2 linked regions of the Macaca fascicularis genome follow. The protein of the gene in region 2 purifies or fractionates together with the protein of the main gene of each other region. This does not show direct contact. Links are inferred from orthologs where the notes say so. Each region holds a gene or a part of one and is shown on either strand. Other genes may lie near its edges. The genes, in order: RPS3 and TSR1.

What was found.
Region 1: the proteins of TSR1 (region 2) and RPS3 purify together in Homo sapiens (co-immunoprecipitation; 4 studies listed by BioGRID and IntAct, with this or other methods). This does not show direct contact. The link is inferred for Macaca fascicularis from reciprocal best matches to the Homo sapiens genes TSR1 and RPS3.

The regions. Positions count from the first base shown.
Region 1 is NC_088388.1:74,281,181-74,285,088, reverse strand, and holds the start of RPS3 (small ribosomal subunit protein uS3), read right to left. Parts: upstream 2,497-3,908; 5' UTR 2,467-2,496; coding exon 2,437-2,466; intron 1,574-2,436; exon of another isoform or gene 1,426-1,573; intron 1,274-1,425; coding exon 1,143-1,273; intron 326-1,142; coding exon 232-325; intron 1-231. UniProt on the Homo sapiens protein: Component of the small ribosomal subunit. The ribosome is a large ribonucleoprotein complex responsible for the synthesis of proteins in the cell. Has endonuclease activity and plays a role in repair of damaged DNA.
Region 2 is NC_088390.1:2,454,364-2,458,271, forward strand, and holds the start of TSR1 (pre-rRNA-processing protein TSR1 homolog), read right to left. Parts: upstream 3,000-3,908; 5' UTR 2,972-2,999; coding exon 2,875-2,971; intron 2,681-2,874; coding exon 2,577-2,680; intron 2,272-2,576; coding exon 2,052-2,271; intron 1,940-2,051; coding exon 1,805-1,939; intron 1,442-1,804; coding exon 1,017-1,441; intron 266-1,016; coding exon 106-265; intron 1-105. UniProt on the Homo sapiens protein: Required during maturation of the 40S ribosomal subunit in the nucleolus.

The sequences.
Region 1 (3,908 bases), on a different chromosome or scaffold from region 2:
CCAATGGGGATAGTCAATCCATCATATGCATCATTTCTATACCCAAGTTGAATGTAAAATCCTTTAACTATCAGCCATTAGCAGAACAGGCTTACAAAGTTAAGCCCATTATTCATTAAGAGAATTTCAACAAAGTTGTATCAGTCCATTTGTAATGAACAAAGTCTCCCAGTTTTTAGAAGTTATCATTCTGAAGAGCCATTATCTCTGGCATACGCCAGAATCACTCACCTCTACACTGCCCTCTGGAAAGCCAAACCTCTTCTGAACTACAGCAGTCAGTTCCCGAATCCGCCGGCCCTTCTCACCAAGAACATTCTGTGTTCTGGGCGGGGAAAAAGTGACAATTCATGACTCTCACAAATGCTAGATTTAACTTTAAATCTTGCATATATATGTGGTAGCAAAATCTCTGCCACAAAGCATATAATTTTCATTGACAAAAACTAAAGTTAAATTTTCAAAATGCAGCTTTTTTTGAGACAGGGTCTCTCTCTGTCACCCAGGCTGGATCACACCAATGGCTCACTGCAGCCTGGACCTCTTGGGCTCAAGCCATCGCCTGCTTCAGCCTCTGGAATAGCTGGGACCACAGGTATGCACCACCACACCCTTATCTTTTTTAGAGAGGGGGTTTCCGCATGTTGCCCAGGCTGGTCTTGAACTCCTGAGCTCAAGCGATCCTATGCCTGGCCTTAAAATCCAGCTTTTAAGAAGCAATTACATTCACTAAGCCCAGACTCACTGGCTGTCTATCCCCTTAAGTTCACAAAGGACAAACCAGCCAGGCGCGGTGGCTCACGTCTGTAATCCCAGCACTTCAGGAGGCCGAGGTGGGCGGATCACGAGGTCAGGAAATCGAGACCATCCTGGCTGACAGGGTGAAACCCTTTCTCTACTAAAAATACAAAAAATTAGCCGGGCATGGTGGTTGGCCCCTGTAGTCCCAGCTACTCAGGAGGCTGAGGCAGGAGAATGGCAGGAAGCTGGGAGGCGGAGCTTGCAGTGAGCAGAGATCTCACCACTGCACTCCAGCCTTGGGGACAGAGCAAGACTCTGTCTCACAAAAAAAAAAAAAAAAGGAATAAACCAACTTAGCATTTACAACAATTATAGGTGATGGCCAGTCAAGTGAGTTTTACCTGGTGGCTAAGATAATGATTTCTGTCCTGGTTGGTGTAACTCGCACCTCAACTCCAGAGTAGCCATCTTCAGCCAGCTCCCGAGTAAGAAACTCATTCAGTTCAGCTTTGAAGATGCCATCAGCGACAAACTAATCCAAAAAAAGCGAAGTTCAAAATTAGGACATCGGTGTAGGCTCACTTTCGCCTGAGCCAGTGTCTTATTAGTCAATGCATCCCTCCCCAAAACTAAATACCTCCAACCAATGGTTCCAAACCCTTGTTCCAACAGGAGTGCAGCAACCCTTCTCAGACAAATGCCTCTAGGTCATCTTTAGGAAGTTACTTCAACCAGGGCCCTTTAAACTGTGCCACAGAATGCAGCACAGAGTAGGCAACCTGGGCGAAGGCAACACCCCCAAGTCAGACTCGTCATCATCTCTTCATCGAAGGGTTTAAAACAGTTCCACATGCAAAACAAGAAACTGCTCTAAAATAGCCTATTTACACTTCACTCAGCACAGCAAAGACACTGTACTTGTCACTGTGAAGGAACAGAATAGATAGTGGACTTAACATACGCTCTCTCACTTGCAGACACAACCTGGACCGTCTAAAGAATCCCAGCCATGTTATCTGGCCTTACGGTACCTGTGGTTTTAACTGTAAACAGAGCTGGAAAATCCTAACTCACAAGAGTTGTGGATTTAATTTTAACATCGAAGTGTAGGTATACGAAATGACAAACTGTCTATTTTTAAAGCTAATGATTTTTACACAGTTCTTTCCCATGGAATAACAAAGCGTTAAATCCGAGGCAGCTTCCTCCCGGGGTCCTCAGACGGAGCAAGCAATCGTCAGTAACCCTTCATGTTGAGGTCGTGGGACCAGCAGACTGTACCCAGACTCGACCAGTAAGAAGACAAGTATACACTGCTGCCTCCCCTTCCCAAAACCATGGGATAAGACATGAGGGAAATGACACACGCCCTCAAAATGCCACGTTTACTAATTCCATTGACCAAAAAATGCTCACAAACGCCTTCTCCGGGACAGAAGGGGCGCCTGGTCCCCATCTCTCTGCGCTTCACTCGGAACCAGAGAAAAACCTGTCTCTCCCTTACCCGGCCACACAGCGCCCGCCTGGCTCGGGCCTCTCACTCAATCCACCGCCATCCGCGGCCCGTGGGAATGCCAGGAGGCCTAAGCCGCTTCCCAGGGCAGGGCACGGAGCTGCAGGCCTCGCGGTGGCACCCGAGAAGCCCCTGACCCTCGCGGCGCAGTCGTTCCCCGAACCCAGTCCCCAGAGGCTCACCTTCCTCTTCTTGGAAATTTGCACGGCCATCTTGCCGCCGCGCTCCGCCGAAAGAAAAAGAAGTGGCGGGCGGGCGGAAGTGAGTATAAAGGGCGCAAGCGACGACGCAGGGCTGCGCTACGTGGACGCCTATGGGTGCTCATGGGAAATGTAGTTTTTACGTAAAGAAGGCGTCAAGGGAAGGAAGAGTGTAGGCAGGAACAGCAAAGGGGGTTCGACCAGCAGGACTGCTAGACTTCAGAGGATCTTAGAGTTCAATTCGCTTTTTTTTTTTTTTTTTGAGACGGAGTCTTGCTCTGTCGCCCAGGCTGGAGTGCAGTGGCCGGATCTCAGCTCACTGCAAGCTCCGCCTCCCGGGTTCACGCCATTCTCCTGCCTCAGCCTTCGGAGTAGCTGGGACTACAGGCGCCCGCCACCTCACCCGGCTAGTTTTTTGTATTTTTTAATAGAGACAGGGTTTCACCGTGTTAGCCAGGATGGTCTCGATTTCCCGACCTCGTGATCCGCTTGTCTCGGCCTCCCAAAGTGCTGGGATTACAGGCTTGAGCCACCGCGCCCGGCCGCGAGTTCAATTCTCATAGTTTAAAAACAAGCAATGCGAGGTGCAGAGGTGGAAATTACAGGTATAAGTTCACACAGCAACAGAGTTTAACCAGCGTGGAACTCTGGCCCCTACAGTTTCAGGGTGGACATTGTAATGAAAATCTGCTGAAATCCCTCAGTGAAATTCATTTAAGACTCCTCTTTGGGAGGCCAAGGCGGGCGGATTACTTGAGGTCAGGAGTTAAAGACTAGCCTGGCGAACATGGTGAAACCCCGTCTCTACTAAAAATAGAAAAAGTAGCTGGGCGTGGTGGCAGGCACCTGTAATCCCAGCTACTCAGGAGGCTGAGGTGGGAGGATTGCTTGGACCCGGGAGGTGGAGGTTGCAGTGGGCGGAGATCCCACCACTGCACTCTAGCCTGGGCGACAGAGTGAGGCTCTGTCTCAAAAAAAAAAAAAAAAAAAAAGAATGTCCCCCAGTCTGTGCCCATTTCCTCCATTCCAAATGATAATAAAACCTGATATTTACTAAGTGTCCTAGGGACTGTGTTCTGTGCCCTTTATGTTGTTTTCATTTACTCCACCTTACTTTCATCAAGTCCATTACAATTTGTAACAGAAGTCCCAGAGAGTGGCTCGTGTGCCCGCCCGCCCTCCCTCTCTTCCTTCCTTCCTTCCTTCCTTCCTTCCTTCCTTCCTTCCTTCCTTCCTTCCCTCCTTCCTTCCCTCCTTCCCTCCTTCTCTCTCTTTCTCTCCTTTCTTTCTTTTCTCTCCCGTTGCCCAAGCTGGAGCGCAGTAGTACGATCTCAGCTCCCTGCAACCTCCACCTCCCAGGTTCAAGCGATTCTTCTGCCTTGGCCTCCTGAGTAGCTGGGATTACAGGTGCACACCACCAAACCCGGCTAATTTTTGTATTTTTAGTAGAAATG
Region 2 (3,908 bases):
TATATCCCCATCCCACTCTATCCTATAGGGCCCTCACTTGGAACAGCTAGAGAAAATCCACAATTCCAGGTCAGATGAATTACAAACAAGTTTACCAATACCAACCCTTTGCCTCACTCAGCTCCTCCTCAGTGGGCCAGGTTTGCTCTCCCTCCATTGGATCTGGGATAACCTCTGCTTGCAAGGATTCCTGTCTATCAGGGTCTGCCCTCATTAGGACCTTAAGGCCTTCTTCCATATCATCTACAGTATCCGTAGCACAAATCTGAAAACCAAAAGCAGGTGATAGCCAACCATGAACCAAAAATCTCCTAAATCTAATATAGTAACCAGAAAGACCCAGAAATATCAGTCCTCATGTAGAAGATGAATGCAACAGAATGCTAAAACTTGTCAAAACTTTTCAAATGGCCATTTTCTAATTTCCAGGGTATTTTAAGTCTCTGCTTGGCTCTTGAGGTCTTTCTTAATCTGCTCCCACTCCTACCCATTTATTACATACCTCACTGCTATCAAGCTGATTTTTCAAGGTTCAAATAAACCCTTTGATCCACCACTGTGCCTAGGTTCATTCTGTCTCTATCTTCTAGAATATTCCTTTATCCTTCTTCAACTCATAAATCACATTCATCCTTCTCAACACCTTGCTCAAGTCTGATCTCTTCTGTGAAGCTTGCTAGTCTACTTTCTCAACTTCCACTGCTGATCCACACCTTAACCATATGCTATCTCAATCTTTATTTCACAGACGCCATTTTGTTCCAGCCCAATTAAGTCCCTTGAGGAAAGCAACCACGTCTTGAGTGTGTTCTATAAACTCAGAGCCAGTTGCAGTGCAGAGTACCCAGAAAGTGCTGGATAAATGTGATTTATCAACATATTTATAACTGACTATTGCCTTACTTCAGACTAGCAGTCTCCTCATTCACCTAAGTGAACAGACTACCTTCTCCGAATTTAAGTTTCCTTCCTGTGCCAACTTTCACATGAACATGATTTAAGAATATCAGTCTTACCTCCATTGCCATGTCTGGGTCCTTCTGGGGTTTAATTCTTCTAGGATTTAAAGGGAAAGGGTCTCCAGGGGCATCTATCTGTTTCATCTGGAAATCGCCATGTCCAACGATATGCAGCAACCTATTGACATTCACAGTCTGCCCTCGAACATAGCCTGAAATTTTCAAGGTGCCCACCAAGTTATTCTCTTCACTAGGAACAAAATCAACAGCATGGGCAAACAGGTAGGCCCGCCGATCTCGAAACGCAAGATGCTGTTGCTTCTGGTTAGCCAACTGCCTAAGCAGCATCCCTGCCTCCTGTTGAGTGTCTAACAAGAGGAATTTGTCATGCAGAAAGCGCTTCTCCACTGCTTTACTTAGCTTCTTCCTGGCATCTATTTGTTTCTTCAGTGGGAGGCCAGAAATCCCCTGGACAGCTAGTGCTGTAAGCAAAAGAGAAAATGCTTCATGACCTATTGCTTCATTACATAAAAATCCCTCCGCAGTTCACAAACAACCTAATAGCTCAGTTGCAAGCCCAGAGATCACTGGGAAACCCAACACTTAACTACCCTGAAGGAATTTCACAGTGAAATCAAACTTCATATCCTTGTTTCTCTGGGCAAAGGAGAGCCAAAAACAAAAAGACACACTGAGTGATAATCTGTAAACAATGGATCAAGTTTAATCCATATGTATACATCCCACCATCAGTTGAATATGATCCGTCAGTTGTACTTCTATATAAAATGCCAGGCATAGTGCCTGACACATTATAGGTGCACAATAAATGTTAACTCACTTACTATAGGTGGGAAGGCCCTGAGCAAAGAGGCAGGAAAGACAGTAATCGCCGGTGCTGTCCCAGCCTTCTAGTGGATCAAGAAGGAACAGGATGGTATCAGCTACTTTAGCCATGTCTAACACAGTGTGCAGATCCCCTGGAGACAGAAGACACAGTAAGAAGAGGTGGCTGGCACCAGCATATTATACTAAAAAAAAAAAAATTACCACTACTCAAACATAATAGAAAATATTGGTGTATACTCTAACCTGGCCTTGCTGACGTGAAAAACCACCGATGTTTCAAGCGGGGGCATAGCAGCATAAAGCTCTGGGTGTTTCCCAATTCATTCAAGTGTACTGTTCCAGTGTCCCTATCCTGAAGCAGCTGCATGGCCTCTGGCAGGGAAATTCTGCTGTGCAGGGGCACCACCAGTACCTGATGAGGAGGGCCATCCTTGCCACCCAGCTGTCTCTTCTCTGCCAGAACCTGAAAATAGAAAGATATCCGAGAACATCTCAGCGTGTCAGTACTTCACGCCAGCATTGAATTTCCATTCCCACAGATGCCCCCTCTACCCACAACCAGCATCTCTCTGGTAGCAGACCACAGGTATGTCGGCGGGGTGGCAGGAATTCTGACGAAAGCAAAAAATGCTAGACCTGCAGGCTCGACACGTGCTCTAGGGCTATGCTCTATCCCTGGACCCCCACCCGGTCTCATTTTCCAGTTCCAGGCAATAGCCACCTAGAACAGCAGAGAAGCCGCACTCTCCCAAATCCCGCTCCTCTCACCGCCTCCTTCTTCTGCTTTCGGAGCTGGCTGGCGCGATGCCTCTGGTCGACTCTGCTGAGTTCTTTTCTCACCTTCTTGCTTAGGGTTTTCAGTGCTAGACGGCCTGAAGGGCATATTAGAAGGGGCTGGTGTGATCGACCCCATAACAAGGTCAAGAAAAGGGACTCCTCTCCGCCCACCTTAGAAAGGGCCTTTCGCGTGGAGCCCAGACGGGAGACAGAAAGCTCAGTCTGGGCATGGGGAAAAAGAGTTAATAATGGCCAAATAGCCCTTATTCCTTCTACGCTATCTTCTTACCCTTGCCGTCCCGCTGTGCAGATCCCCGACCCCGATGCCGCCCGCCTTTATGAGCTTTATTCTGCTGCTTGAGCGGACCGGGGCGGTGAGCCGCCATGCCGCAGCGCGCGTGTACAGTCAACACTGCTTCCGGGCCAGGACGAACGCTTCCTGTCCCCTCCAAGGGGGCGGGCTCTCAGTGGGGCGGGACTCCCTGCGCCCTCCCGCGACGGTCTTTTCCAGCCACCCCAAAGCGCGCCGCGTTAGTCGCTCTGCCAAGCCACGATGGGAAGTTTTCCCACGCTGTAGTGTGTGGTTTGGAGGCTTGAAGGCGCCCGATGTAGACTCTCGAGGCTTGGGCTATTGGTCCAGCAGGGCTGTTTGTGCCCCTTGCATTGTCATTTTTTTTGCGCCATAAAACTGCATCACATAGAAACATGTTGACTGGAAGGCTCCATTCGTGCCGAAAAGGCCTAAGCCCTTCCTGTCACCTAGATTCGGGCATGTTGCTCTTCCATTTGCAATGGCGTGTTCTTTATCACTCTGAGCAACCTTTCTTCTCCCTCAATTCCCTAGCGAGGCTTGGGAATCGCGTGGAAGACACTTCTCTCACCTTGCCCGGTTCCTTACCAGCTCACGCCCGTCCCTGTTACTCCAACCCGCGCCCCGCCTCCCACGGAGCGGCAGGGAAGGACCCTGTGGGACGTGGCGACCCGGCGAGGGGGACTGGCTGCGACCCTCCGGCCCTCGGGCTCCGGCGGCTGCGCTCCCACTAATCTTCCCAGAAACTTGGCGACGGCCGGACGGGGATTCAGAGGGGTCACGGGGCCAGGCTGCACCGGCTTCGCCGTGGCCAGGCTCGGACCGCAGGGGATTCCGTGCCCGAGCCCCGGCCCTTTCCGTCCCGTCGGGAGAGGGAGCAGGGAGAAGTCAGGGGACATTGAGCGGGACCGAGGCTCGCTCTCAGCCGCCGGGCCGCGGGCCCCAGGGCCGGCGCTCACAATGCGGCTTCGCGCCCTCCAGCGGGAGCGGGTGCGTTTCCATGACAGCGACCC